Notamacropus eugenii: one gene and its partner. The protein of the gene in region 1 purifies or fractionates together with the protein of each later gene. This does not show direct contact. Links are inferred from orthologs where the notes say so. Each region holds a gene or a part of one and is shown in the gene's direction. Other genes may lie near its edges. The genes, in order: NUFIP1 and ZNHIT6.

Region 1 (16,069 bases):
TGCACTTTGGCAATTACATATACTATCTGGTATTGTTTACTATCATGTACGCATTCAGCTTATATCCCAAGAAAAGAAACGATGTTCTTTTGTATTTTCGGTACCTACGAGTAGTTACATTGTAATGGATATGTGACTTCCTCCACAAGGGCAGATTCAACCCTCTCTCATCCTTTGTGGTTCCGGTCTTTGTCTTCCTTAAACCCTTCAATAAGTTCTCTTACTCTAGAAAGACCCTTCACTAACAGCTTCCTCCAATTTTTATAGTGGTATGTAGATGACCTGAGGCTCCAAGCTCCAAAACTATGACAGAAGAGAGTAAACTCTGACAGGCTCAACCAAGCTGTAAAGCCTTGCAGTAAGCACCAGGAGTTAAGGCAGTTCAAGGATAAACCTAGCTGATTCCAGGATACTTTATCACCAGGCTGGCTAAAAGGTAATGAGTTTGTGGTCAAATCAGCTCTTCTACTACTTAATATAGGAGTTGTAATCAGCATCAGTGAAGGAAATATACACTGATGAAATCACAACACCCTGAAGTAATCAACAAGATCTTTCCAAAGGACAGGTAACCTTTTAAGTCTGTGAATATTTTGGGGCTACCAATACAATATTCAGATGGTCCATCTGTTTTCCTTTTCTCTCACTATGTGACCACTCTCCTTTCTTTTCACATGTACATTTTCCAGTTCTTTTCTCTTTTTTGTGTGTGCACAAATCCATCATTGAAAGTATGTTGCAACTTACTTGGAGTTCTATTTCTCACTAAATAGTTAATATGATGAACTTGAAAGCTTATCTGCTTTAGTATCTTCAATACTTTGATGGAATTTCCATTAAGGTTCTTTTATATCATTAAACAGAACAGGTTGCTTTAGAATCTATCCTAGAATTCAGTAGATTGCAAATTCCTTTAGGACTTTACTAGGTGGTCTTTCACTTTTATATTCCCAGCACTTAGCATGTTCTTAGCATATAGCAGCCATTCAATAAATGTTTGAAGAATACCATACTTTGGAAAATGCCTAGAAATAACTGCTATATAGTGGAAAGACTAAGAATCAAATAATTTTAGACTGAATTATATGGAAAGATACTTGATTTTTTTGTTGCCTTGGTTGTCTGAGTCTATAAAATTGGAATAATTTTTTTCCCCTAGTTTATAGAATTCATGCACCTAATGCACCTCTGATTTTTTGTTTACCTTGTCATTGTTGCGTTTGTCCTTCGTTCTCAAAGTGGACCATGAAATCACGATGATGATAGGACTTGCAGTTGACTTTGATTTGAGGTTTTTGTTTTTGTTTTTGTTTTTTGATTAAAGGGGCCATCCCTTGAGTAACTACTTTAAAAAGCCTATTCGTTGAATGGGTATATCTCACTCAAAGTGAGAATGTGATAAGACCATAGCCTGAAAGGACCAGAGTTTCACACTGCATCCTGGTCCATCTCCAGTCCTCCTGATGAATATCAGGCCACTGGACTCAGATGGCTCAGGAGAAGAAAGTGTGGTTGGTGACCCTGCACAGCCATACCTCACTCAAATCAAAGTCATGTCATCCACTTGATGTCATGGTCCTCTTTGAGAACAAAGGACAAACATCACCTGTGAGTGAGTAGCAGGTCCTCTCCTCCTGTACCTCCTTTCCTCTCCTCTGGTGTTCTACTCAGGGGAAGGTATACTCCATGCCCAAAAGCTGCCTTTTTTCCTCTGGGTTTACTGGCTACATTTCTTGCTCAAAGATCAGGCCTTAAACTCAATTCACTCTGTAGCTCATAGACTTTACCTTGTAAACAAGGAATGGCAGCACCACCTAGGATGAATGAAGATCATCCCCAGAATGGGGATTCTGTTTCAGTCAGAATGCTACTTTCGCATGCTCTTCTCTCACTCACACTAATGGTACCTTCTTTCTCTCTTTGCTTTTGATTTTAAAGTTTTAAGTAGGGAGGTTTTTTCCTTCTCTTTTTTTTTCTTGCTTTCCTTTCCCCTTTCCACTTATAATACAATATTGAAATACACTATGCCTCTAGGTGAAGGAGCTGATGGCTCAGTGGATAGAGCACTGGGTCTGGAGTCAGGAAGAACTGAACTCAGAATTAGCCTCAGTCACTTCCTAGCTATGTGACCCTGGGCAAGTCACTTAACCTCTGATTACCTGACAAAAGAATCCACTGGAAAAGGAAACGGCAAACCACTCCAATATCTTTGCCAGGAAAACCCCAAGGACAGGTACTTGGACTTTGCCTTGACCTGTCATTTCACTCACATAGGTAGTACCCAAAGAAGACCTTCCTTTAGCCAAGCAGGTTAGGACCTTCTCTGAAACTTACAGGCACAGAGTAGAGCACTGAGGGGACATGCAGAGGGGCACACAGCCAGGATATGATAAAAGAGGGACATAAATGCAGGTTTTTGAGGTCAGCTTTCTGGCCAATCTGCCATGCTGCCTCTCTCACTTGGGTTTGGAAAGGATTTTAAAATAACTAGTTGTACGGTGCACAGCTATGCAAAGAATGGTACAAAATGAATGACTATATTAAATATTTTAAAAGTATATTTTTAGGAAGTGGTACATGCTGGAGAGTAATTTCATTTACAGCAGTTGTATAGTTACAGTGATTGTAAAACTATTTTAAATTTGTGCTGCAGTGAATTTGTTATTACTTTCAACAGATGAGGATAATACTCAAGAAACAGCATATGTTACTACAAAAAAATTAGAGCAATGCTGAAGTGTGAAATCAGCTATACACTCCACATAAAATAATTTAAAATAAGCATTATATAATAGGATAACACCATGGCTATGAGAGACAATAATGGGACCAGCTGATTTGAGTAACCTATGCTTCCTAGCTTTATTTATACATTTTTACAGAAATTTTCCCTCTTCAAGGCTCTAAAACTCACTCACTTATCACTAACTCAGTAACATTTACTAGGTGCTTATTGTGTGCAAAACCCTGTACTCAGTTTTGAGAAAGTAAAGAAGATGAAAGTAAATTCAAGGTCAAGACCTCTATTAATAGCAGCTTCATTGCAATCAATCATTTGTCTCAAAGTTTCCACACTTAGGAAAGAACAGCAAAGACTAACAAGCTTTGACATTGATCAAAGGATAGGCACTGATTAAGGGCCTTCTTCCTGTTAGGCACTGTGCTAAGTTCTGAAGAGGCAAAGACAAATATAAAAGTCACTGTCCTGCAGAAGCTTACATTCTGTGAGGGAAAAAGTATACATATAAGATAACATGGTGAAGGGTGGGGAGAGGGACAAAGTAGCAGCTGCACAAGAGAATCAAGAAAAGCAATATGGCACTTGAGTTGATCTGAAAGAAAAATTCTATGAATTGAAAGTCTGAAGGTTGGGTATTTCAGGTATGGGGTACAGTCTGTACAGATGGTGTGTTGTATAAGTAACTGCAAGAAGGCCAGTATGATTATATGTGAAGAGTATGTGAAGGGGAGGCTGAGGTGTTTGTACTAAGAGGCTTGTAACAGTTGTTGTGAGGAGTGGGACAGAGTCAATTAAAGTAAAAGGACTGCCATAGTACAGTGAGGTCCTAGTTGAAATAGATAACAAATCTGTAGTTGACTTCCCACAGCTCTCTTCAGCAGAACTATGAATAATGGTATTGGAGTAGCTGAGTAGGAGCGAAGGAGATGGATAGTGGACAGTCTAGAGTTGGGCTCTGACAGAGGATCCCACAGAAATGAACGAGTGAACTAGTAAAGAATGGAAGAGAAATACAGCCAAAACTAGAGTGATAGCCAAAGAGAGTATTTGAAGGGTGGAAGGTGTGGACAGCATCTAAACCAGAGGTATTGTGTTACCAATATTAGGGCAGATGTCCCAAATGGGACTCCAAATCACTCAATAAAAAGATCCTAAAATTGCTGGGAGTAGAGAGGATCTCTAAACTCTTTTCTTGTATTCCCCATAATGCTTAGTGCTATCAAATCAAGGTATTAACACAATTTATTAAGTATCTACTTTGTGAATGAATTTGACTAACGGTTCTTTACACCTAGTCAGTTAACAAGCATTTATCATGTATCTGCTATGTGCCAGATATTGTGTTGCTGCAGGGAGTACAAAAATGTATCAGACACTGCCCTTAAGGAGCTCATATTCTATGAGGGAAAATGTATACATGTGTAAATATATACAAAGTAATATACTAATAATATACAATGTAACTTCTGAGGGAAGGCACTAACAGTTGGAAGACAAGAAAGACCTCACCTAAGAGGAGAAAATGAGATGTTTATAAAGCTCTTTCAAAACCTTAAAAAGCTGTATAAGTGTCAGCTATTATTAGTTATTATTAATAAACATCATGTGTGAAGCACTGTGTTAAGGGCTGCAGATGCAAAAAAAGGGCAAAAACAAGGTCCCTGGTCCCTGCCACCAAGGAGCTCACATTCTTATGGGCTGTACATATTTCATCCTGGAGGCAATAGGGAGCCATTGAGCCTTCTTTACTAAGAGGATATCATACTTCTCTTTAGTTTTTTTAATCTCTGTAGCAATTCATTTTTTCTTTCCAATATATTTGTATTATTAATTAGTTCAGAGAGCTGAGCAATTTGTTCAACATATAAAACAAGTCAATTTCCTAAAAACCTAGTCTCAGCAGGACAGATACAAAATGAACTGATAATTTAATTTCAGAAGTTCAGATTCATCACATTTTTGTCCTTAAAAAAAACCTAAAGGTTCCTTTCCTTTTCTTCATTTTTATAGGGCTTCCCCAATCCCAACCTTCCTTCACCCCCCAGGTAAAATTAGTATTTTATGATAAAGTATATTTTCCATTTATGTAGGCCTGCTCCTTCTTTTATAATGTATCTGAGTGGAATTTGGAAATACCTTTCTGTTATTTATTATTATCCCCATTTCACAGATGAAACCAAGGCAGACAGAGGTTGAGTAATGGCAGGATATGGCAGCAAGTGGAATTTGAACTCAGAACTTCCTAATGCCCCCAGAACTATCTACTGTGCCATCTATCTGCTGCCTCAAATGCTTTTTGATTGACAAACAACTTTACCACCTAACTCTTAGTCTACTTTCCCAGGATGAACATGCTTTGTTCCAACTAACCTGGCTTTCTTGCTGTTCCCTGCATGCCTCTTCTGTCTCATCTTTAAACAAGGAGTTCCTTATGCAGGTAGACAGATAGAGTGCTGAAACCAGAGTCAGAGAGACCCGAGTCCAAAATGTGACCTGGTGCAAGTCACTTAACTGGTCTGCCTCAGTTTCCTTATCTATAAAATAAGGATCATAACAGCACCCACATCTCAGGGCTGCTGTGCGAGAATCAAATAAATGACTGTTTCAACTCTTTTTTTTTTAATTGATTCTCTAAGTATAGCATTATATCTTCTGCAAAGAGTGATACTTTTGTTTCCTGTCTATTGTTAGTTTTTTCTTGTCTTACTGCCATAGTTAGCCTTGCTGGGAGGATCAAAGAAGATCGGATCCTTAAGAGCTACGGAAATGCTACGATGAGGATGATGAGGCCTGGAGTGTTCTCCCTCCTCGCCCCTTTCCCCCAACGTCCCCTCCAGCAGAATCTCCAGCATCCCTCACAGCCCAGCTGGGCAGAGCAGGACCTTCCTGATCTTCCCCAGCGGGCCCCTTCCCACAAAACTGCTGTGAACTTCCCGACCCTGCACTTGTTTCTCGTGCTTCTGCCTCCCCTGGGTAGAAGGGAAGCCCCTCGAGGGCAGGGCCAGGGTCATTTCCCCAGGGTCTTCTCACCCCTCGCCAGGAGCCCGGCCCATAGCGGGCCTCGACACTCCCAGAGGCTCCGGGGCTGGCCTCACCTGGGGAGGGATGGCCCTCCTAGCTTACCGGGACTCAGGTCCGGCTCTTCCTCCGCAGTCCCTCGGGCGTTGAAGCCCGGGGGCAGCGCGGGGCCGATCAGGTCCCTGGCCATCGCGGCCCAAGGAGAGCCCAGCCTCCCTGCCCAGGTAGCGGTACACGCAGAGACCCCCACACAATACGCACGCGCAGGGTCCCTCTCGGTCTCCCAGTCTGGGGAAAACTCCGGACACAGTGTTTCCGGCGCCTGGAAGTGACGTCACGACAAGCCATTGGTCCCAAAGTGTGTTTACTGGTGGAGCGGAAATGACGCACAATGTCACCGCCTCCGAGATTAGCCCACGTGCTGTGGGCTGCTGGCGAGCTGCCGGTCTTGCCTCAGTTTCCCGGGGAGGCTTACCCCCTAGTTTCATGGACCCGTTCGGTTGGTACCCTCCGCCTGGGCCGCCCCCGGTGCCAACGCTCCCGGGGTTTGAGTCTGATCAGTCTGCGGACTGGACATCTTGGGTGCTTCCTCCTCCTCCGCCGCCCCCGCCGTCCATTCCGCCGCCTCACCTTCCCTCTTCCTCCGAGAATTCCTGGGACTTCCAGGCGGCCCGGGACTGGTCCTGGGCGCCGACCCCCGGCTACGACGGCTTCGACCCTCCGCAGGGACCCTGGTACCAACTGCCGGGTAAGTCGTCTGCGTTTCCCCCCCATGGCTGTTATTTCTTAGGGGCCTTCCCCATCCCCCCTCCCCAACCCCGAGAATTGACTCGGTTTCCGTCCTCCGTCCTCACTCCGCCCTCAATCTCCCGCGTGTTTTGTTAACTCAGAAACTTCCCACTGCCGCGCTCTTGGTCTCTTTCAATTTTTGGATTAATTGGGGTGGGGGAGGGGCTTGTTCAGATCACTTTAGTCAGACTTGGAACTAGAAAGGATTTCAGAGGTCATCTGAGTGGGAGCGGATGGAATAAACGTTTTTTTATAGCGCCTGCCCTTGACACATTTTATCTTATTTGCACCTCATTTGCGGAAACTGGGGCAAACAAAGTTAAGTGCCTCGCCTCGGGTCCCACAGCTGGTGAGTGTCTGCAGCCCGATTTGACCTCGAGTGTTTCTGAGGCCAAGCTCCGTGCTCTGTCGTCTGCTCTGACTGAGCCAACCCGCTCGTTTTAGGGATGAGGACAGTATATCTTGGCCAAGGTGGTGGAACTAGTAAGTTCAAGAAATGGGATTTGAATCCAAGGCCTTGGGCTTCCAAAGCCAACGTGCACTCTGCTGCTTCACAAAGGATTTATTTTGCAATGTTTTCCCACCTTACGGGAGATGTTGCCGATTTCATTGTGACAGAACTTTTATTCAGATGTTACGAGTTTGTGTTTGAAGTTGAAGGATCTTGGTGTAACTGGATGGAGTGCTGGCAATGGAATCACAAACCCTTGGGTTCCTATTCTTACCTTAGACCTTAAGTTGGTAGATTTAACCTCGCTGGGCCTCAGTTTCCTCATCTGTAGAATGACTGCGTTGGGACTCATGACCTCCAAGGTCCCTTTCTGCTTTATATCTATGATCACAATGACAACTATAATTTTTTTTGGTAGACAAAAGTCTAACCTCTAGGGTTTAATGTCATTTTCCAATTCAGATCCAAAGTTCTCCCCTTTGATTTCAAGATCAGCAGTTTGCTCTATTTACATCCTTTATCTTTCACCTATTCTCTTTGCTCTTTTCTAGCCAGGCCTTATTAGTTTTGTAGGATAATTTGGTACCATCCCTGATTTCACAGATGAAGGAACTGAGGACCAGAGAGATGTGGTCAAGGTCCAGATCCACTTCCTCCCATTGTAAATCTGGTGCTTATTACTTGACTGTGCTGCCTCTTTAGTTTAACTTCTTATTTCCTATCTGGGGACTATCTCCAGTCATCCTGACTTAGATCTTGTCTCTTGGTCTGTCTTGGAGGAGAAAGTGAGGCTAGTGACTTTACACAGCCCTTCTCCCTTAAATCTGATTTACTTGCAAGTCATGGAATCACCTTCTTGTTGCCATGGTCCTTGAGAAGAAAGGACAAAGAACAGCAAGGACACATTTCCTTGGCTTGCCCAGGGAAGTTCTGTCTAAATCAGGCCTGTGCATTCTTCAGGCTGCTTGCATGCCCAAGGATTTCCTCTACATAAAAAGGTTTTTTCCTCTATATTCTTGGAGGGCCACTCGAAATCCTTTGGCTTGCCATAAGCAGCCTGAGGGCCACAGGTCTGATCTAGATAATAGAATATATAAACTCAAATAATATCCACCATTCCATTCTTCCAAGTTATGGTGGTAGTGTTGGGAGGGAAAAGTGAGTGGTGAGAGAGCTTAACTGTCTGAATAACAGGAGCTTCTTAAACTGCCATGTCTTTTATGAAGTGTCTTTGGGAAGGTGATATAGTTTCAGTTGGTTGGGCAGAGGCAATGCTTATGTGACAGGACTCTGCTCTAGTGGAAACATCCCAGTATTTGTGACCTTGAACAAATCATTTCACTTCTCTAGGACATGATTTGCTCATTTTTTTAAAAGAAAGGGATTGGGTTGTTTTCTCATTCTCAAAATAAGCCCCATTTAGCTTGAAATCTTACTATCCTGGGCTTCACCGAAGTAGTTTTGTTAGTTGCTCTAGTAAACATTTTTGTGAGAGGATAGTCATTTCATGCAAATGAAGCAAGAAAAAAATTATTCTTTAAATATTTAATAGTAAATAATGAGTGCTTGATATGGGGTCTTTCAGTAATTCTCACTGGTCACAATATTCATGGACCAGATTTTAAGTGGCAGAGTTAGTGAATAAGATAGCAAGAATAACACAATAGAGTAGGCATGGTTGTTGCACAGAGCTGTTACGGTGTAGCACAATTTCTTAGAATAAAGAGGATGCAGGGTGATGGTGTCTGCAGTGATCTGTCAGTAACGTCATCGGGCAGAAGTGACATGTGGCATTATCTGTTTAAAAACTGTGGAATCCTCTTTTATACAAGCTAAAATTGTAGCATTGATTATGAAAATCCACCAAGAATGCAGCGTCTCACTTGAGTCACTGACTGCATCATCATGTAGTCCTCTTCATTTCAGTGACTTGAAAGTTGAGGAAGTTAACTTAACTAGAAGGTAAGTGACTTGCCCTGGGTTACATAGCCAGTGAGTGTCTGAAGCTGAATTTGAACTCAGCTTTTCCTGATTCTAGGCCCAGCACTCTAGCCATCGTACTGCCAGCTGCCTCTAGTGGAAATCAAGTTGAAATCTAGTATTTAATAATGATAAAAATAGCTTCCATGTCTCTAGTTCTTTAAAGTTTGCAGAGCCCTTTCTTCACAGTCCGTTTGTGTGATAGGTAGGCATTAAAACCTGAAGATATTTTTCCTCTTGCTCATCATTTATCAGACTGAACAATTCTGATTTTATGAGACGGTATTTTAAGTATGCTTGAAGAATACCTATTAGCTAATATTATGGAAATTAATTAAACACATCAATCTTGGATGGTCACTGCAGATGAATATGGGGCTGATCCTAGCATTAACAGGAGAAAGGTGATAGATTACCCTGTTTTCATTGAACTCAGCCAATTCACTACCTTAGAGGATGTGAAGGAGTAGGTGGGTCTAAATCTGCCTGTGATGGACAGGTCAATCAGTGGTTTGAGTCTGCTCATTTTGTGGAAATCCCATCTCGCCTAATGCATCTTCTCCTAACAGAGGAATAGTTGTGTGTTTCTGCTATGTCTAATTTCTCTGCTTTATCAGTTTCTTGACAATACCCTGTGATGTGTAATTTAAAAATAATTATAAGTAACTGTGTTTCTCATTTTGTTTTGTAGGCAGAAACTATCATTTCCCCAAGAAAAATCATGACAGATCAAATCGAAATTTCAAAAATCACCAAAGGGGAAAACAGAAACAAAAGGTATTTAAGAGAAGTCTTCAGAGATAGGCTCTTTGCTGCCTGTGTAAGGTTTTTGTTTTTGCTTCTTTCATGTAGAATGGGTTTTCTTCTACTGTGGTGGTGGTTCTCCTCTAGATACTAAGTTAAATGTTGATCAGACAGTGGAGTGTGTATGGCAGGGGTGGGGGTGGGGGTTTAATTTTTTTTTTTTTTTTTTTTTTACTATGCTCCCATAGTAAATGTAGAATCCAGTCTACCTAGTCTATAGGTAGAGTTGGGCTACCATTAAGCAGAAACTTTCAAATTAGGAATTAGTTGGATACTAGGTACTGTGTACAATTTTCATAATTTTAATTTGAAAACTTCCATATACAATAAAATTACATAGAACTATTATATAAATGCTGTGTAAGTATTGAATTTAATGAAATTACTAAATGTATTTACTTGCAATAATTCTACCTTTGAACTACTGAAAATCTTTTTTTGAGGTTTTAGGTATGTAATCACTTTAATTTAATTATGGAATGGTAAAATATGAAAGCAATTAACCTGCATTCCGAGATTCATTTTGCTTAGAGTTACTGGATAGAAGAATGACCTTAGAATCTGGAAGATTAGGGTTCCAGTCGCTCCTCTGACACATAATGACCTTGGGCACACACCAGGTGTAATATCTGCTGACCTTCATTGTTGGAAGAAAGCTTCCTCAATGGCATTTTCTTTACTAGTGAAATCCTGGGTTTAGTCCAAATCTGTACTTGCTCTGTTTTTGTCTCTCTCTCTCTTTCTCTCTGGGTTGTTGCACAGTGGAATTCTTGCAAAGAAAGGAGGAAACATTCTTTTTCTTGCCTCATTTTTTTTTTAGTATTAAGTTGTCTGAGATAGACTACTAAAACAACCTTTTACTGTACCTACACCAAATTTAATTTAACCTACAGATTATGCATTAACGTCTCATTTCTCCAGTATCATTCTCTCCTTTTGCTTTGTGTCCTGTTTGTCTTAAATGAACAGAAATGCCTACCAGTAACATTCACAGGTCTCACCCAAGAGCCAGAGGTTCTCTGTAAAGCAGAACTAAGGAGCAGAAGGGCAGGAGGCATTTTAATGTGATTACAGCACACATAGTAGGGCTGGGTGCTGATAGACTTCTGCATCACCATCTATTCAACAGCCATTAAACTGAAAGTAATTTTTTTTAGACCTCTTTACAAGGGTCCAATGTTTATTTTTCATGGTTGTTTAAAACATAGTCATTTTATTTAAATGAATAAAATTTCTTTATTTAAATGAATTTGTAAGTTTTAGGGTTTATCTTTTTCCTTAGTGTATTTCCTTGAGAATTCTAACCATGTTTAGAATTTATTTATTTATTTATATTTGAATCAGCAAGTATTTATTGAGTATCTACTATATGTAAGGCACTATGCCAGGTTCCAGGGATACAACGAAAAAGTGAGATAGCTCCTGTCCTCAGGGAGCGTATACCCTAAGAAGAGGCACAACGTGTGTATGCAAATATATACAGAATATAGGCAAAATAAATACAGGTTAGTTTTGGGCAGGAGAGTCTTTTGGTAGGAAAAATGCACATTTTCTAATGTTAATAGCTCTTAATAAAAACAGTTTTTCTAGTTCTTTATTTTCTAGTTATCATTCCTGTTCTGATATTGAAGTTCTTTTTTTGGCTGTTTATTAGAGGTTTTCTTTTTAAGGAATGATAAATATATAAAAATGATAGCATTTTTTTTCTGACAGAAAAATAAAGAACCAGTATATACCCATTACTGTGATACTTGTGATCGTGGCTTTAAAAATCAAGAAAAATATGACGAGCACATCTCTCAACACCGAACAGTAAGTTTTCTGATTGATCCTTAATTTTCAAAATAGTTCTTTCTACTTTTGTATCTCTTAGCAATCCATATTTCATTTCCATAAGATTGCTAACTGATAAGTGCAGTACGCTAGTGCTTCCTACCAGTTAGCAGTGTAGTCTGATGTCAAGCCATCACAAGGTTCGACAGATTGGCAGTCTGCGCTGGGGCCACACCCCATATTTTGGGGAGCTTGATTTCTTCAGGGAACAGGCAGGTGGTAGTGGGTAGGTGAGAAACTTGGGTGTGGCCTTTTTGCTGTTTCTGTCTTTTTAAAAAGAATCCAACTGTTTGTATACACATGCTATCTCCAAGGGTTGTTGTGAAGATCAAATGAGATAGTGTACAAAATGCTTTGTAAAATTGAAAGCATTTTATGAATGTGATCTGTTACTGGTATTAGCTACCTGTTATATTCTATTCCATGCCCAAAATGCCTTGGAGTGGGGCTGACCCTTCCTATTCCCTTATGCAATCATCAGGCTCTGTAGTGTTCTTTGGTACATTGCTTCCCCATGCCAACGCGGTCCTTGATTTTGCTTAAGCCATTAAAAAAAATTATTAGTGGTGTTACAGAGGGCACCCATTGGGTGACTTGCTGTGAGCCTGTATCCCACCTACAGTGTAACCATAAGGTATAGTCTTATATGTGACCCCTACATCAAAGGTACTTTATTATACAAATCCCCAAGCTGACCCTATCACCATGAATGCGAAGGCAAAGAAAAATCTTTGTTCTTTTAGACAGAAGCCTTTAAGCCTTGTCTTTTGAGGCTCTATTGAGGGTGTTGTGTTTTTTCACTTTCCTTCTGAGATGATCCTGGCATTCAAAAAGTGAGGAAACCTGTTGCTATATTTGATCTCTGTTTTCAGTGTATGAATCCCTTTCCACCCGTCTTTGCTCTGGACTGGTATTTCTTCCGTCCTAAAACATTGAGAGATAATAAACTTTACCTCGAAAAGCTTAATTGACTGTAAGAACAAATTGAATACCGGCATTGTCTGTGTTGTGGCAGAATACATTTTGTATGAAATGTAGTGAATAATGTTTTGTTTTTTTAAATTACCTCAGTGCTCGGTCGATGGTTGCAGTTTTAGCGCTCATGAGAAGATTGTTCAGATTCATTGGAAAAATGTAAGTTACCACTCTTAGGTTTATCCTTAGATTTGCCAGCCTCTTTTCTTTGGTGGTTTGCCAACTCTACAATAATTATGGCATAGGACAGATCTTAGTTACACTTAATTTTTTAGTCTTGTTATCTCTTCAGCTACTCTCATTGTCAAATTAAGAAGATGCATAGGATGTTTAATGTTCATCAATGTTACAACAGATTTATATGACATTGGTAAAATGATCTGGCGAACCTCATTACTAGGCAAGGTCTCTCTTTCCTAAAAGGCAGCACTGAATTAATCATGACTCACCACAACTCATTAGGGGAAATCCCAATGTAAAAAAACCTAAAAGCTGCTCACTTGGTAGCTTTATTGCAGTGGCTGGTGCTGAACTTGGTTTTCTATGCGAAGTCCCCGTTGCTCCTGTGTACTCTATAATCAAATTCCCAATAATTAAAGACAGAGCCATTGTGACATTGGAAACATTCTTTTCCCTCTTAGATGCATGCTCCTGGTGCCAAGCGGATAAAGTTAGATACTCCAGAGGAAATTGAAAAGTGGAGGGAAGAGAGAAGAAAGTGAGTAAGAATTCAGAAATGGTTAAGTATGTTGCTGTTAAGGCCAGGTGCTTCAAATTGATGAGTTCACTGGACTTATTGTGCCTAATACATCGTGTTTAGAAGTTAGGAAGTTTGATCCTAGAGAAATAGGACCAGTAACTAACTGAATAAAATAGCAGTCAGAAGATTAGGAAGGCTAAGATCGGGAGACAGGATCCATACCTTTATTATAGCTTTTACATATGTATATTTCCTTGATTTGGGAGGGAGAGTGATTTAATGTACTTTATATTTTCTATTACTGGTAGTGATATTGGTACTTCTGCCACTTTTATATAGCACTTTTAGGTTTACAGTGATAGTTCATCACAACAACTTGCCAGGTAGGTAATATAAATATTCTCGCCTCCATTTTATAGGTGAAAAAAAGCCAAAAGTTTCAGTAAGGCTCCCCAGAGTGATACCTCAGATGAGAGCAAGTGCTCAGATTCAAATCTGCTTCCAAGCCCGTCACTTTTTCTGTTATAACTGAATGTCTTTTATTATAAGATAATTAAATATGTCTATTATAGTGAGGTGCTTCTTATGTATTTATAAGGTAACAAAACATATTACTTTTATGGATTGGATAGAATACTAGAGTAGGAGTTAGAAATCTGGGATCTGGTCTTGACTGTAGTTAGTGATGTAACCACAGGCAAATAACTTAACCTTTTGTCTAGGAAATGAAGGGGATAGACTAGATATCAGGTGCCTTTTTTAGTTCTGAGTCTTTGTTTGAATTCATGTATGCAGTGTCTTAATGGGATTTTTCTAGTGTCTGATACCTTAAAATTCCCCCCATACTTTATATTCTAAACCAGTATCGTTTTTGACTCATACGTCTCTCTGCTCGGCAGGGAGTATTTGTTGTTCGGTATTTGTTGGCTAAGTTTATTTCGGCACTCTCTTGACTCCTTGTTGTGTGTAGTGATTACTTTATGTTAGTTTAAAGTCTGTAGGGAATTTTAATAGTCTCTCTTGATCTCTTTTCCTTTATCTGTTTTCTATTCTCTGGCATCATGACTTGTTGGAATAGGTCAGGTTGAAGGTCTAATAATAGGAACACCTTTTTATTTTTATACCTGTAATTGGTATTGATTTTGACCTTTGCTGTAATGAGCAAGTACAAACTGCTGACTGAGAATTGTTGTCTACATTGACATCCAGGTTTTTTCAGTCCAGTTAGATAAGGTCCGTTGCACTTTTGTGATGTTTAACGGTGAATAGAGTTTACAGTATTCATCACATCTGAATCCTGTTTTTAAAAAAGTGTGTTCGTTCCTCTCACTTCCCCTACCCAGTGGACCGTCCTTCGTAAGAAAGATAAAACCAGAACTAGAAGAAGATACGCTACTTCATCAAAACTAACCCATCTGTTGACCAGCCCTGACAGAATATGCAGTCGGAACCCTACTTTCCATCATCCTTATGCTCTGGTCTCTGTTGCATTGATGTCACTAAGTATCAAAATATATATTTTGACAAGGTTTGGAGGATCTTATTGAGGTAGAATTCTGCCATCTCTTCATCCTCAGTAATAGATGTTGACCATGAGCTGCACTTCTCTTCAGGTTGATTTTTTTGCTTCTTTTCATCGTAAATTGAGCAAAATGAAATACTCAAGTGTCTTGTCATGTTTCTTTGGCAAACAGTGCAGTCAAGTTCGCCAACTCTTTTATTTGCCTCTTTGAGGAGAATATGGGAACCATCTTTTCGTTGGGCTGCAAATTTGTATATCCTAGTTTAATTTATAGTGAGAATATCATTGTTAGCATGCTGTAGTTTTTCTAGTACCTGATTTTTACAAGGATCATGTGTTTATCAATAGTAATATTTGGACAGAGATCACACATTATTATTACCAATAATAATAATAATAGCTAGCATTTATGATTTAAGTGATTAAATTATCATTTAGGTGATTTATGGTTTGCAAAGCCTTTTACAGATTTTGAGATCTTGTGATCTTCACAGTTAACACTATGAAGTAGATGTTCGTACCCCTTCAGAAACTGAGGCTCAGAGAAGCTAAGGGACTTGCCCAAGATCACAAAGCTTAGTAAGTTTTTGAGGGAGGTTTTGAACTTAATACTTCCTGACTCCATGTTGAGCAATCTATTCGCTATGGCACCTTGATGTCACAGTTAATTAATGTGTTTCTAGATCGTTTAAAAATTGTAGACGCCTTTTGCCGCCTTCCCACCATCATTACAGAAGCAAAAAACCAGCCTCATAAAGCCAAGGGCCATTTTGTGTATTTCTTTGATTATATAGTAAACCATGAAATAAAAGTCATCATGGAGAGTCCCTTTGCACTAGTGATGGAATTGATAGAACTTGCCTGAGCTTAGCTTCTCCCTTAAGTGAGCCTTCAAGGACCTTGGTCATTTTCATTCCATGAGGCATACAAGTAAGAGTTTTGTGAAGGCAATGGGAAAATGAAGCTTCTGATCCTTGGTGAGAGCCAGATAAGGTAGGTCACCCCAAGAGCACTTAAATATGAAACAAGAACAACCAACGGAAGAAAAATTCAGCAATTTTGACAAAATTTCTGTTAGTAAATTCTCATCATTGAAGAACAGTGGAACCACCAAATATGGGTTGTGCCTAGCACTGCAGTGCCCTGCAAAGAAATGAGAATGGAACTAAAGGAAAAGAAGACTGGAAAATTAATCGAACCAGGGAGACAAAGAAAATAGCTTTGTGTGTGGGTGGAGGGGTCTTGGGATTTTTAAAC
Region 2 (16,069 bases), on another chromosome or scaffold:
GGTTCAATTTATATTCTTACCAGCTCTACCAGTTCGCTCCCTACCACCCAGATAGACAATTATACTTCTTATGGTGTTCCAAAATAATAAACCCCATCTTGTTAACCATCTATCCATTACCCAAATGTGGCAACTATCTTTTCTCCTGAAAATGTCTGGGTGTCTCCACTGCTAAAAGAGATGAAATTTTATGAAATCTGATGTGTTTATAAGTAAAGTCACTAAGCAGAAAAATATTATATTTTCTATGAAAGAGAGCTGCTTTAGAGCCAAAAGACTTGGATTTGAATCCAACATTTGCTACTCAGTACTGGTGTGACCTTGGTCAATTTAATTCCCAAATTTGAGACTCAGTTTTCTCATCTATAAAATGGGAGTGGGAGGGAGAAGGGAGATGAGACTAAATGAAATTTAAAGTCCTTTCTAGCTCTGAATATATGATACTGTAATAAATACCTATGGGGTTTAAAAACTGGAAGCAAAGAATTCCTCTGTTAGTTTCACCAAATCACAAGCATTTAGTTTCTCTTGTATGAGGCAAAATGTTTTCTCGAGGAGTTTGAGCAGCCAGAGCATGCAAGAAACCAAAGACCAGGGTGATCACTAATGCCAATTGAAAAGGTATGATAAAGTGGCAGGCCTTGGTGTCTCTTTCCTATCCTGGCATGAATATCCAAGTTTAATCCTCCCACCCTAGACCAGCAGCGTTTAGTATTTGCAAATAAGAAGAAAGCGCATGTTTAACGTGCAGAGTAGGGCATTTCTGTGAAAGGACCAAGTGTAACTTTTTCCCCCTGACCTTATAGGTAATTGGCTGTAAATAGGTGCGATGAAGTCGTTGTCACCTAGTGCTGGGTACATGGTTATGCAATCTGTGTGCTTTGGATTCAAAGCCCTTGTGTGACTCAGGGCCACAGTAGAAAAATGGCGCCATTATTATTACCTCAAAGGGGCAGAAATTTATGGGCAAGTTGAGTTGGCACCCTGGCAGGGCCCTCAGGTCTACTCAAAGATATAAAAAATAATTCCAGTAATAATCTGTTAAAAATGATTTTGTTGAGTGTGCATATCTGAACTGGTTCATATCCGGCATGTAAGGAAAAGGGTCCCTTTTTTTTTTTTAAAGTAAATACTAACAGATCAGTTTGATGAAGACAATTTACTTTATGAATGAACATAGCATATATGGATTTCCATCAATACAAAGGAAATAAAAAAGTTTCTTGGATCTCTATCAATTTGACAATCAATGGGAATATTAACATTTCCCAACAATTATTGTTGACATGGATCAGCTAGTCAACACAGTAAAATTAGAACATAAAACTTTTCAAATAACAATGATAAATCAAATATTCTAAGATTCCACATTTAATATATGTGATGAGAGTATATTTTCATCACAAGGTCAAAGGGAATGTAACTACTTACAGTTTCATTTTTAGATGGGTATTTATTAACTTTTTTTCCCCACCTGTTGTCCAAACATGATGAAGACACAAATACAAATACCACAAAGGAAATTCAGATTTTTTTTGTCAGCCTGGATATTCTCAGCAGTTTTTGTTTTGGCCTTTAGAATAAGCCATGATGGAGAATATAATAATAGTAGGGAAAGGTTCAAATATAGCCATCAGATTGAAAGATAATATCATATTGCACTGTCCAGTGGTTCAATGGTAGAAACAGATATGGTTTTATCAAATGAATTGATACTCAAGAAAATGTGTTTGCACGTTAGCCTTACTTCTCCATTATGCTCCAGACAAATTGGATACTTGCCAACTAGATCACCAGAGCCTTCCACAAGTGCTCTAGAACACCTGAATTTACAATCTACCCTGCAACTTCACACTATAGATAACTACCCCAATTGCCTCATCCTGGGTCATCTCCAGTCATCCTGATGAATATCTGGTCACTGGATTCAGATGGCTCTGGAGGAGAAGTGAGGCTGGTGACCTGCACAACAGCCCTCCCTCACTCAAAACAAAGTCAAGTGCAAGTCATGTCATTATTTCTCTGATGGCATGGTCTTCTTTGGCAAAGAAGGAAAAACACACACACACATTAGGTCTTAACAACTGTCCTCTTGGTGGGCCTTTCCATTCATCCAGAATCAGAATTCTGTTGTATATATTATCTCCCTCTCTTGGTCCCTCCTTGGGTATCTATTTATATCTCCAGTATATAGCACAGTATTTTGCCCAAAGTAAGCTATTAACAAATGTCTTTTCTTTCATTCATTTGTGGGATCATAGACTTTAGAACTAGAATGGAGCTTAAAAATCATGTAATCTAAATCCTTATTTTATAGATGAGGGAACTGAGGTCCATAGAAGTCACACATTTAGGAATGCACAGAACTGGGATTTTCCTCATTTGAAAGACTCCAAAATCCATGTCTTTCCACCACACATTTCTTTCCCTTGGGTCAAACCACCCTAATGGTGAAGTCAATACATTTAATGCCACTCCACCTCTATTGAGCAGAAAACAAGAGAAGTATGACTATAGAGCTATTCCTCTGAGAAAGGTCTGAGTCTCTGCTGGCTCAATGTGAGCCAAAGGCACATGATGGCAGCCAAAAAAGCTAATTCAAAGGAGACTTTTGGCAAGATGGCTAAGTAAGATGTCGTGGCTAAGTCCAGATCCCTTCATCACTTCAAAGAAGTGAGAAATAAGCTATATAAAGTAAAAGGAAAACAACAGAAAAAAGACAGAAAAATAAATAATTCATGACAAGGAAAACCTCATGGAAAAACCACCAAAGAAATTGAAAGAATTGAGTAAACAAGTAGGAAGCTGCTAAACAAGGACTAAATTATATTGAGTGAAAAAAAAAGGTAAGGAAAAATCCCCAGAAGAGAGGGTTACAGTTTTAGCAGAGGATATAAATGCTAGAACCCAAACTTGTGACTAATGTCAGGCCCTTCTCAATAAAGACAAAATAGCCAAAAATGCATGATGATTCCATTTAATTCAATTGAATAGATAATTTATCAAGAGCTCACTATTCGTAAGGCATAGTGCTAGGAGCTACTGACACAGAGGTAAAGTGCCTTCCTTCAAAGAGCTTTTAGTCTTCTAGGTAATTTGGAGACAGGAAATCAGAAAGTGGTACCTGAGCTCTTAGAAGGTGATGCTTAAGCTGAGCACTGACTGAAGCTAAGCATTCTAAGAAGCTGAAGTGAGGAAAGAATGCCTCTCAAGCATACAGGACAACCTTTGTGAAAGCGCAGAATTGGAATGTAGAGTTTGGGTCACACTTTGACTAGTGCATAGAGTGCTGAGCCTGGAATTGGGAAGGCTTATCTTCCTGAGTTCAAATCTGACCTCAGACACTAGCCATATGACTCTGGGCAAGTCACTTAACCCTGTTTGCCTCAGTTTACTCATCTATAAAATGAGATGGAGAAGGAAATGGTAAACCACTCCAGTATCTTTGCCAAGAAAATCCCAAATGAAGTCAACAGAGAGTTGGCCATGACTGAAAACGCCTAAACAACCATTGAATGGAATATAGAATATGTGGAGTCCTAAGAAACATTTCTGAAAAAATAGGCTTAACCAGATGGTGCAGGACTTCAAATGTCCTGCTGAAGACTTGGCATGCTATCCTCTAGACAACAAGAAGACACCAAAAACTGTTGACCTGTGCCCTAGGAAAAGTACTTTGGCAGCTGGGTGATTGATAGATTGGGGTGGGGAGAAATAGGAAACAGGGAGACCAGTGAGAAGCCAATTACAGTCCAGATGAGAGGGTGATAAAGGCTGAACTAGGAGTGATGACTATGTAAGTGTTGAGAAGGGGCTGGATGTGAGATATATTGGGAAGGGACAGGGGGAAAATGGGAGGGTGGAATGGATAAGGTTTAGCAACTGACTGGCTATAGGAAAAGAGAGTAGGAAAGGAGAATAGGAAATTCTGAGCCCCTGCAACTTGAAGGATTGTGGAGTCCCAAAGAGAAATTCCAAAGAAGGAAAAGTTAGAAGACAGGTTGGGCTTAAAGTGGGGGAAGGGGGAGAAGATAATGAGTTCTATTTTGGACATTTTAAGTCTGAGATGACACTGTAATATGCAGGTGTAAATGTTCAACAGGCACCTTGCAATTTAGTACTGAAGCGCAAGTGTACACATACACACACACACACACACACATTTGGTATTCATCTGTGTAAAGATAAACAATGAACCAATAGGAACTGATGAGATCAAAAGAAAAAACTGTGGAGAGAAAAGTATAAAAGAATAAGCCTTGGGTTTAGGGGGTGGGAAATGGATGATTGAAAATTATCTGCCAATTAGGTAGGGGGAGAGGGAATTGAGGCAACCTTTTCTGTGACTTTGGCTATGACCATAGGACATATATCTTTAAGATAAGTGAATGAGTATGCTTTTATTTTAAGTACTTAACAATGGTAAGCACTGGGCATATCAATAGAAAAGATAGTCCCTTGCTCTTAAGGAGCTCAAATTCAAAAATACATTATGGAAGGTTTCAGCTGCAAATATGATGGAAAATTCCTGTAATCGTGAGGGTACAGTTGTCATTTTAACTGATAAAATAGAATCAGCTTGTGATGTTGAACCAGTTAGCAGTCCATATTCCAATAGATGTAAAAAGTCTTAGGAGTGAAAAGTCATTACAACTGAGGGATACCAGGAATGGAGGCTTTGTGGAATATCCTTCTTGCTCTTTCAACTCCCTCATTTTACAAATGAAGAAACTGAGGCTAAGAGTTTTACATGAGCCCCCTCAAGTCACATGAGCAGTAGTTGGCAGACCACCTCACCAAACCCTTCCACTAAATAGGTTTTAATTAGTAGTCACTTGAGCACCCTTGGAGGTTCTGAAAGGTAAAGGACTGGGTCAGAGCTCTGTGGTTGGGAGAATTAATCTGGCAACAGTGTGAGAGTGCAGAATAAATGGGAAAGTCTCCTCTTCCTTAGGACTTAACAGAAACCACTCTATGGGGAATCTTCTTCTTCTCAACCCTTCTTGTGCCTCTCCACAGTCCAAGGGTTCTTCACATCTCAATCACCATCTACGTGTCTACACAGGATGGGGGGACAGGGCCCAGACCCATAGTTGTCCTCCTGATAAACAAAAACCACAGCTGGGGAAGCTCCCTTTCCCAGTGTAGACTATGAATAAAGGAATGAATGAGAGAGCGCTTAACTAGGTGCCAAGGACAGGGCTAAGCGCCCAGAAACCAACCCCAAAGCCAAGCCGGGGCTTCAGTTCTAATGGGGGTCGGGGGCGGGGCGCAGTGCGGTGGCCAGGGAGGGGCTCTTTGGTTTGGGAGTTGCTGGGTGCTGAGTGGGGCCTTGGGGAAGTGCGATGAGCCACGTGTTCCAGGGGAAGATGGCGGAATCCAGCACCGTGGTGGGGGGAGGGGAACACGTGGTCACGAAGCACGGAGGACTCCAGGCCGCCCCAGAAGCCCTATCAGCAAGGGGGCAGGCTCCCCAATAGCTCAGTGACTATTTATTGATCTCCGGCGGGTGGGGGGAGACCCACGACTTTCTGGAGAGAGGGGGCCCCCGGGTGAGGGGGGGCGCCTTCCCTTCCAGCGCTGATTTGGTCGCTGTTGGGGGTTGGGGGGGCAGGAAGTGGTCAGAGGGATCCGGGTCCCAAGGGGACGATCAGAGCCCAGGGCCGCAAGGAGGTGGGGAGGAGGAGGCCTCGGGAAGCATCCGGGCGGAGGGAGCTGCGCCCGGGGCAGCTTCCAATCTTATTCTAATTAACTATCTAGATTAATTAAAGTAGGTAAGTACTAAACGAACCCGGGCCAAGTTCAAATTCCGGCTGCCTGGATAAACGGGAGCAAGCCGCCCAAACTCCCTGGGCGGGGCCAGCAGCCGATAGGGTCAATAAAGAGGAAGTCCCGCCCCGAGCTGGTTCTCGCCGACCGGTCGCCTTCCGTTTCCTTGGAAACCGCGCGCGCAGCTGTCCTCGCGTCGGGAAAAGGTCGTAAAGCGGCGCTGGCGCGACTTGGTGGTGAGTGTGGTTTACGGCGGGAGGCTGGAGCGCGTGGAGGCTCGTGGCCTCACGTGGCCTCACGTGGCCGGCAGCGCGCGCGGTTTAGGGGCAGTCGCTCACTCGCTCTCCCGCGGCGCGGTTACCGGAGCGGCGACTGGGGGGCCGGGACGCCGGCGGCTCCGGAAGGGCCCAGCGGGGCGGGGCCTGGAGCGAGGACATGGCTGAGGCGCAGGGCGGGGACGGCGGGGACGGCGAGCCCGGGGAAGGGCCAGGGGTCCCGGGGATGGGGCTGGAGCTGAAACTGGAGCCGGAGGGGGACGGGCCGCAGATCAAGGCGGAGGTGATGGAGGAGCCTGAGGAGGGGACGCAGGTGTGATCCGAGGGAAAGCAGGACGTCATAGACGGGCAGACGTGAAGCGTGACGTCATAGACGGGATAGAGAGGAAGCTGACGTGAAACGGGACGTCATAGACGGGATAGAGAGGAAGCTGACGTGAAACGGGACGTTATAGACGGGATAGAGGGGAAACAGGATGTCATAGACCAGGCAGAGTGAAGCATGACGTCATAGACGGGATAGAGGGGAAGCAGGATGTCATAGAGGGGATAGATGGTAAGCGTGACATCATAGACGTGATAGAGGGGAAGCATGACGTCATAGACGGGGCAGCCGTGAAGCAGGAGTCAGTCGATACCATAGAGGAGAAGCAAGAATTTAGAGATGAAGTAGAGGAGAAAGGAATTAATGGGCGGAGTAGACGGACTGGAGGCCGTGGAAGAGGTGGTGGGTAGACCACAAATGAAGGAGAAGCTGGCGGGTTGGAGGAGGGCATCCCAGGAAGGCGCAGAGTGGAGGTGAAGGAGGAAGTAGGGAGAATGGGGTGAGGATGGGAGAGCGCAGGAGGCGACGAGGAGGGGAGGGGAGAAAAGGCTGGGTGATGTCTGGACAGGGGGTGAAGGAGCAGGAGATGGCTGGAGCCCGCGCCAGGGAAGATGGAGCAGAGCTGGCCGAGGAGCAGAAACCGCCGAGGGAGCCTCGGGTGGGCAGCAAGCGGAAGCTGGCCATGTCCAGGTAGGATGAGAGTGACAGGTCGGTGTGCCAAGAGGGAGGCGGGTTCCAGGTGGTTCAGGGGGGCAGACAGAACTGGAATCCAGAGGGTTCCATAGGGCCCTTGAAGCCTTAACTGGGTTGTCAGGCTCAGTGGGGTATTTGACGTTGGTGGAATTTGGGGAAGAACCAGAGTGGGTTGTAGGAGGATAGGAAGTCAGAGCACACGTGTCTTGGGGGTTGAAGACTTTCAGGTCGAATGAATTAATTAGATTTTTGTCTTGACTTCTATTAATTGTGTCTTCCTCTTTCCAAGTGGAGAGAAGCAATTATGTACTCTGGGACTAGGTTAATTTTAGATGAAAATGCACCTACATTTCTATGCTGGGTTTTATTTAAATTTATCCTCTTTGATTTATAATTTAATCTATAATAGGCAGCTAGGTGGTACAGTGGATAATCCTGGACCTGGAGTCAGGAAGATCTGACATAGCCAGTGTGATCCTAAGCAAGACATTTAATTAATGGCTGTCTGCCACAGTTTCTTTATCTGTAAAATGGATAGCATCTTCACCAGGGTTATCTAGGTGGTGCAGGAGTCAGGAGGACCTGAGTTCAAATCTCACCTCAGACACTTGACACGCACTAGCTGTGTGACCTTGGGCAAGTCACTTAACCCCAGTTGCCTCATCCTGGGTCATCTCCAGTCATGCTGATGACTATCTGGTCACTGGATTCAGATGGCTCTGGAGGAGAAGTGAGGCTGGTGACAACGTGCACAGCCCTTCCTCTCTCAAAACGAAGTCAAGTGCAAGTCATGTCATTATTTCTCTGCTGGCATGATCTTCTTCGGCAATGAAAGACAAGCACACGTTAGTCGTGTAGCTTGCCCACGGTGCACCCTGGAGCAGAGGGGTGTCAACCTTGCTGTCCCCAGCAACCCTCCCTAGTGCTCCCTGAACCAGGTTGAGATGTACTTGGGAAATGTTAAACAAAGTAAATAAAAATACAATATAGCCTAGATGATGTTCATCCATGATTTCCTAAGTCGGCCTGCAGCCCACAGAGATGCATTCCTAGTTGAGCTGGGGCAGAACAAGAAGCAGCTAATGAAAATGGCAGAGAAGCCAACTTAAAAAATTTAGACTTGATATAAGGAAAAATTTCTTAAGAAGTGGGCTATCTGCCTCTGGAGGTAGTGGGTGGTTCCCTTCATTGAAAATTTTTAAGCATAGTTGGATGCTCTTTTGTCAGGTAGGTTGTTGTAGGGATTCGTTTCAGTGTAGGCTGGACTGGATAGCCACTAACGTCCCAATTCTGAATTTTTACGATTTGTACGGCCCCCATGATAGACATGTATGGCATATCTGAGAACCAGCCTAGCTAATGTGGAGAGAGGCTCATTACCTAGGTTGGGCATAGGGTTATCAAATGTTGCAGCCACAGCAATTTCAAAGGTCATTTACTGAATTGTAGAAGATTGTGATGAAATCACGAATGCTGGAAGAAATGGGATGTTGTCATGCAGTGAAAAAGGAAACAGAAAGGAAATGGAGGGGTGGAAAGGAAGGGAGGGAATCTTATTCTCCAGAAAACAGATGGCTCATCTGTCAACAGCACAAAAAACTACAAGTTCATTTGAAAATATTAGGTCAGAGTGGTTGGAAGGGAGAAGGAAATATCTGTTTCCTAAATTAGCAGCAGTGTATTGTTGTATTCTTAATTTGGCTTCAAACCCCATAACTACCACTGTTAGTGGCCTTGGTCAATATTATATCAGAGAAAAGACTAATTTAGAAGACTTTCTCTCTTCATGGGAGGTTTGATCTCTATTTTTAACTCAGCTTGTAGGTGAACTAGAGTCATTCTGTATGATGCTACTAAGTATGACAGAAAAAAAATTGGAAGAATTATCTGATGTCCTCAGTAAACTTCATTAGAATATTGAAAAATGAGTGGATGACTTTTCCTTGATCCATATAGTCTAGTAATACTAATTCTGATTGTTATTGGAGAATTTTCCAGAGGAGTTAACAGTCATCTCAATTGCCAAATCTACTGTCCTTTCTCAATTCCCCTCCTTCTTGACCTGCCACCTTTGACATTGTTGATCAACCTCTTCTCCTTGATATTCTCTTCTCTCTAGGTTTTTGTGACACTCCTGTGTCTGCTTCTTTACCTGTCTGACCTCTTCATTCTTGTTTGCTGGATCTTCATCCAGATCATGCCCATTAACCAAGGGTACCCTCCAAGCCTCTGTCCTGAGCCCTCTTCTCTTCCCCTTCTGGTCATTTCACTGGTCATCTATCAAATTCAACCATCATTTCTAAACAAACACTTCTCAGATCTATTTGCCCAGGCCTCTGCCTCTCTCCTGACTTCCATTGTATGCATCTCCAGCTGCTTATTGGATATAGTGAACTGGATGTTTTGTAGACATCTCAAACTTAACTTGTCCAAAACCAAACTCATTATCTTTCCCTTCAAACCCCACTCCCCTCCCTTCCTAACCAGCTTCTCTGTTGCTGCCAAGGCCACCATCATCCTCCCAGGCACCTAGACTCAAACTTAGGTGTCATCTTTGACTCCTTATTCTCACCCCACTATATCCAGTCAATTGTTATCTCCCAGTTTTCCTGCCTTGGTAACATCTCATTTATATGCCCTCCCTGACCTCCCCCACCCCGACACTGCTGCCACCTTGGTGTAGGCCTTCATCACCTCATCCCTGAACAGTTGCAATACCCTGCTGGTAGATCTTCCTGTCTCAAGTCTTTGCCCACTCCAGTCCATCCTCAGTGCAAAAGGATCTTTCTTTGAAAGTTCAAGTCTAGCCATGACATCCCCTATCCCATAAACTCCAATGGCTTCTTGTCACCTCTAGGAACAAATATAAAATCTTCTCTTTGGTTTATACAGCCCTCTTATTTGCCTCCAGTCTTCTTAGACCTTATACCCCACATACCCAGTGACACTGGCCTCCTTGCTGTGCCTTGGTTAAGATACTGTCTCCTGACCCAAAGCATTTTCACTGCCTCACTGTCCCTGTTCCTTCTCATGTCTGCCTCCTGGCATCCCTCAGGTCCCAGCTGAAGGCCCACCTTCTGCAAGAAAACTTGCCCAGTTCTCCTTAATCTTAGTCTTTTCCCCCTGTTATTGTGCCCAGTATATCTTCTACCATTTTGTTTGTACATGGTTGCTTGCATGTTGTCTTCCTGTGTTGTCAAACTGTGAACTCCTTGGGAGTAGAGACTGTCTTGTCTTTTGTTGTATCCCCAGCACAGCATATCACTTTTCACTGAGTAGGAGATAGATAAATGCTAGCTGACTGACCAGAGAAGAAATCCGGAATTGGGAAGAGGCCTCCCATAAGGATTTAAGACAGTAAACGCTTATTAATCTCATACTCTGTGCCAGATAGTGTGCTCAGCCCTGACGATAGAAATATAAGCCAAAAAAAGATACTCCTTGCCTTCAGGGAACTTCCATTCTAAGTGGGAAAGACGTCACTGAAGGGAGCTGGGATCTGAGGAAAGAGAAGTGGTATCTCCATGGGGAATGTCCACGTAGACTTTACGTCTGCAGAGTGAGAAGCAAAGCCAGAAAGGGAATGAAGGCCAACCCTCCTGGGTCCCTTCTTAAAAACAGAAGTGCCAGGTGGTTGTGACCAGTGGGGTGAGAACCAACAAAGGAGGTGTGGTGGCCAAGTCCCTGAGAAGTCCTGAGCGGAGCTGGGAGGAGAATGATGAGTGGCCATGAAGGGTTTGGGTTTTTGTTTTGTTTTGTTTTTTTTAACCAAAAGGTTACTTTTGTACATGCCTGAGTTAGTAAAAGTGTGTAAGTTCTTTGTGGAAATTTATTCATCTACAAGTAGATTACAACTTTGGCTATTTTAAGAATTACACATATTTGATGGGCTTTTGTTTCTTGTTTCTTGTAGCTGTGAAACATGTGGTACAGAAGAAGCAAAGTACAGGTGTCCACGCTGTATGAAATGTTCCTGCAGGTATGAACTCGACCTAGTCCTCTTCCTGCTGCTTGTGCCCTTTATACTTCTGAATGAAAATGCACAGTTTTTGTATGTTGCCTTTTCAGTTTAGCATGTGTGAAGAAACACAAAACAGAGCTTACATGCAATGGAATTCGAGAGAAGACAGCATTTGTCTCGTTAAAACAGTTTACTGAAATTAATCTTCTAAGTGGTAAGGCAGAATATCTCATCTTATTTGTAACTAATTGATGTATCTTTCCTTTGACATGTCACCTGATTTTTGTACTTTAAAAAATTTAGATTATAGGTTTTTGGAAGATGTGGGAAGATCAGCTGACTACATTGCTAGAGATGTTTTCTTGAAAAGACCCTCAACAAATAGAATTGTAAGTATTTATTTTTCTTAATAAGCTTCTTAGTTTTAACTAGCTTAAGAGAGGGACAGCTAGGTAGCACAGTACATCTAGTGTTTCAACTGGAGTCAGGAAGACGCCTCATAATGCAAATCTGGCCTAAGGCACTTACTAGATGTGACGCTGGGCAAGTCACTTAACCCTGTTTGCCTCAGTTTTCTTATATGTAAAACAAGCTATAGAAAGAAATATAGAAGAAGAAGGCCAAACAGTGTATATTTTGTCAAGAAAACCCCAGATGGGGTCACAGAGTCGGACACTACTAAAAATAACGGCAACAAAGGCTTAAGGGAAGGTGACCACAGCAATTGAGTATTATATAGATTTCATGTTCATAGGAGCATGGAATTTAAAGCAAAAAGAGACCTTTCAGATAAGTCAGTTCAGTTTCCTTAGGGAAACTGAAGCTTATAAAAGTTGGCTTTTCCAGGGTCACATAGGTGATAAGTAGTGGAACCAGGATATGAACCTGGGTCCTGTTTGCAAATCTAGTGTTCTTTCCCCTGCTATGTGCTCCAGATTTGTAAGACTTTTCCTTAAAATAACTATAAAATTAAAATTCAACATTGTGATGTAACTTCCTGTGAACATAAAATGTGTTCAAAAATGATCAACACAAATATTATTCATTTTTCTGTAGAGTAATTAGCAAAGAAACATCATATTTTAAAAAAAAAATTTCTTCTACCAGTTTTATTATTACTGTTTTTCTTGGACTAGCTAATTCAGTAGACAGCTATTCATGTGCATAGTGCCTGAAAGAAAGATTGTTATGTAATGTTATGTTTTAATTTTTCTTTAGAACTGTGTAACATTAAGTCTAAAAATCAGATTACCCTTAGAGATATTGACTGAACTCTTTATCAGTTCCAGTTGACACATTTCATGTTAGAGAATCAGCTAGAGTGAAGGTGTCAGACCCAAGACTGAGCCAAATTAAGATGAGATTGGGAAATATTTAACAATAAATAAAAATATAGTAGAATATAGATAATGTTAATGTGTGATATGCAGCCTTTGGGAATCTTTATATAGTTTAATGGTCTTCTATTTGAATTTGGCACTAATGAGCTGGAGCATTGAGAAGATAAGATTAACAATAAAGGGCCTAAAGTGACATATAGCTTCTTAAATTAAACTTCAGGTAGTGAAAAAAATTTTCAGTGAATCATTTGAATTTGTTGTCCCTAGCCCTAAAGTTTCTACAAAGTAGTATGACAGCAACTTGGATATAGCATCTTTAAGGTTTACAAAGCTCTTTACTTCCTATCTGCACAAAGAGATTTTCATTTTTAAATATATTAGTATTCATAGTCATTGCCTTTCAATAGTTGTTTCTGAATCCAAGTGGGTTTTTTGACTTTCTACAGAAAAAAATGATACCACCAATTTTGCCTGGTTTATTGGACATTGATGACACATACTTACTCTCTTAAACTACTAATGAGATGAACATGATAAAGTTTGCTCTGGCATTACTTCGGGCCATGAATAATTCAGAATCATAGTAACTCATTTTATTGGTGAAAGGCATTTATTATTACTAAGTGCTTTTGTTACTTATATAATTAAACAAAGCATGCCACTTCCTGGTATCCAAGTAGTACCTGTTTCATGCTGCAATAATGCTGTCCAATAAATAGTGTTAAATATGGAATTTCATGTTTAATAATGTTAAAATGATATACTCCACTGGTTTTGGAGATAGAAGACTTAAGTTTGAGTTTGGGTTTTGACAGTAGGGGTGTTACTTTAGTTATCATTTAATTTCTCTGAGACTCAATTACCTCATTTATAAAATTGAGATCATACATTACTTTTCTTACTTTTTATGAGGAGAAAATGCTTTGCAAAACTTTTAGACTGTGAATTATTGTTACTAAAATAACAAAATGGTTTTATCATACCTTAAGGACGTAGAGTGCATGGATTATTGAATACAGTATCTAGTTTTAATGGAATGATTTCATCATCCTTATCAGTATTATTCTGAGAGATAAGAGTAGCAAAACTGACCAGTTTCAGTTTGTTTTATTCCTTGACCTTGACTTTTTAGTGAAGTGCTAATAAGAAATGGCCAGGGCAGCTAGGTATTACAGTGGATAGAGCACCAGCACAGGAGTCAGGAGGACCTGAGTTCAAATGTCACCTCAGACACTTCACACTCACTAGCTGTGTGACCTTGGGCAAGTCACTTAAGGCGAGTTGCCTCATCCTGGGTCATCTCCAGTCATCCTGTTGAATATCTGGTCAGTGGATTCAGATGGCTCTGGAGGAGAAGGAGGCTGGTGACCTGCACAGCCCTCCCTCACTCAAAACAAAGCCAAGTGCAAGTCATGTCATCATTTATCTGATGGCATGGTCTTCTTCAGCAATGAAGGACAAACACACACACACCCCATAAGAAATGGCCAAAGGGAATGTAGCAGACAGAGAAATCAGAATACTTATGGACTCTATATTGATTCTTAAGTAATTGAGAGTTCATTAGTTTTTCAGAGTTTTAACTCAGTTGTGAAGTTGCATAAGCTATTTGAGTTTAATTTTTAGTTTTTGTTTATTAGTTAAATTACATGAAAAACCGAGCACGGAGACACAATATCGACTTAAGAATCTTACCTATTGGCTTTACCAAAAGAAGAGAGAATTCAACAGTGTTTGACAAGAAGTAAGTATCTAGTTGCTATAGAAATGTCTTAAATTGTGTATTTAATAAATTACTTTTGAGGTCTAGTGTGTTCTTTATCACACTAATGAAGTAGACTGTGAGGATGAATTACTCTTGCCCAGGAGGAAGTGTTAAGTTTTCTAGAAGTCACATGATCATAGATCAGAAGGTGATTTTAGGCGATGAGCAGTCAAATCTCATTTTATAGAGGAGGGACCTTGGAGGGACAGCAGAATCTATTGAGGATTTTAAGGAACAAGGAAACAAATTTTTAGGCATCAGAGAAGGAATAAGACGTTTGAGAGGGATTAAAGTTTAGCATAAGAGGCGACAGGAAGGAAATCTGCTGAAGGAGGTAGAGGCCAAGGGATCAGACACATGTAGAGTGATTGTCTTTGGCAAGAAGGGCCACCTTTTCTTCATGTGAGAGTGGAGTAAAGGAAGAAGACTCTCCAGATGGCCTTGATTTTTTCTTTTCTTTTTTAAGTTGCCATGTGAAGTGTGTACCTAAGAAGGTGTGGGAGGCTTGAGAGAGTAGAAAGTTGGGAATAGCTTTGTTGAGTGGGATAGAGCCTCAGGAAGGGGAGCTGTAGAAGCACTGCATTGCTGTCATGAGGGCCTGGCTGAGATTAGACACCCTAAATTTGTAGTGGATATGGTAGTTTAATGACTTCCTCCAGCTCTGTTCAGCTGCATGTGAGTAGAAACAGAGGAGCTGGTGGGAATATTTCAATATCGGGCTTTAGCAAGGCACAAGAGGCAATAAGACAAAGATGCAAGGAATTTGTGTGCAAAGCAGAGTGTAAAATTGAATTGGTTCACCAAGATACTGAAATTAGGAAGAGTGGGGACTGTGGCTCTAGCAAGGATGCTGACCTGGGAAAGTACTTAAGAGGTAGAAGGCCTGGAGGCCACAGTTAAGAATGAAGACTTAAATAAGTAGGTTTAGGATAAGAAGGCATAGGAAGAGAGAGCATGATAAAAGAGCATGAGCAGATAATAGAACTTCAGAGATCTCAAGCGTGGAAGTTGAACATAGGTTATGACAGTCAAGGGAAAGACTGTCCCTGTGTTTTTATGTACTATGTAATGCTGAGCTGCTATTGAGCGTAATATGGGAGCTGAGTACTTTTTGAACTGGAATTTTAGCATACTTAAGGGAGCAGCATATAACATTGAAATTTCTTACTGTGAGCATAGGTTTTGGGGATGAGATTCTATGCTCTTTGGATCTTGCCTTTCAAGTAATTCCAAATCCATCTAACTTTATCATCCAGCCCATGTCCCTTCTGCTTGTTCAGAAGGCTTGCATGAGACTGTCAGATGTTTTCCTGAAATCTCTATATGTTATGTGTACACAGTTCCTTAAATCTGCCTGTCAAATTACACTATCAAAAACAGAAATGAAGTTGATCTAGCATGGCCTGTTCTTGATAAATCCGTGTTGACTTTCTTTGCTTATAGCTTCTCTTTCTGAGTTCTCAGAAACCGTCCCTTTAATGCTGTGTTCGAGAATTTTCCCTGCCTTGTGAGGCAGGCAATTTGGAGGCCAAACATAATTCCCTTTTTAAAAAAATGAGGACAGTTACTTACTGCTGCAGGATGTCTTCTGTTTTCCATGGTCATTTTTCAAAAAATGACCAATTCTTGGTACCTGGTTTCTAGATCCTTCGGGGCTTGTGACTTGAACTCATTGAGGGGAGTGAGGTGATCTCTTGGCTATCTTCACTTATCTTTTATTTCAAGTCACACAGTCACAGACTGGCATAATTTGAAGAGAGAAATCAACCGCCATCTAATCCAGCCCACCAAGGAAAGGGATTCCATGTTATAATATATCCAACAAGTAGTCACCCAGCCTTCTTGAAGATACCCAAGAAGTCCCTGTTAACTAATTTTTCTATCCTGGTCTTTTCCCAGTCTAACAATCACTGTCCATGGAAGAGAAAACCAAAGCCAGAT

Evidence for each region.
Region 2: the proteins of NUFIP1 (region 1) and ZNHIT6 purify together in Homo sapiens (affinity purification with western blotting; 3 studies listed by BioGRID and IntAct, with this or other methods). This does not show direct contact. The link is inferred for Notamacropus eugenii from reciprocal best matches to the Homo sapiens genes NUFIP1 and ZNHIT6.

Annotation. Positions count from the first base shown.
Region 1 is NC_092877.1:295,516,299-295,532,367, reverse strand, and holds the start of NUFIP1 (FMR1-interacting protein NUFIP1), read left to right. Parts: upstream 1-5,948; 5' UTR 5,949-6,139; coding exon 6,140-6,506; intron 6,507-9,669; coding exon 9,670-9,755; intron 9,756-11,495; coding exon 11,496-11,594; intron 11,595-12,686; coding exon 12,687-12,749; intron 12,750-13,231; coding exon 13,232-13,308; intron 13,309-16,069. Other genes in the region: GPALPP1 (GPALPP motifs-containing protein 1), read right to left, coding at 5,864-5,948. UniProt on the Homo sapiens protein: Binds RNA.
Region 2 is NC_092873.1:495,144,819-495,160,887, reverse strand, and holds the start of ZNHIT6 (box C/D snoRNA protein 1), read left to right. Parts: upstream 1-5,784; 5' UTR 5,785-6,204; coding exon 6,205-6,357; intron 6,358-6,358; exon of another isoform or gene 6,359-6,732; coding exon of another isoform or gene 6,733-6,771; exon of another isoform or gene 6,772-6,842; intron 6,843-6,937; coding exon 6,938-7,059; intron 7,060-10,975; coding exon 10,976-11,041; intron 11,042-11,130; coding exon 11,131-11,237; intron 11,238-11,326; coding exon 11,327-11,412; intron 11,413-14,003; coding exon 14,004-14,107; intron 14,108-16,069. UniProt on the Homo sapiens protein: Required for box C/D snoRNAs accumulation involved in snoRNA processing, snoRNA transport to the nucleolus and ribosome biogenesis.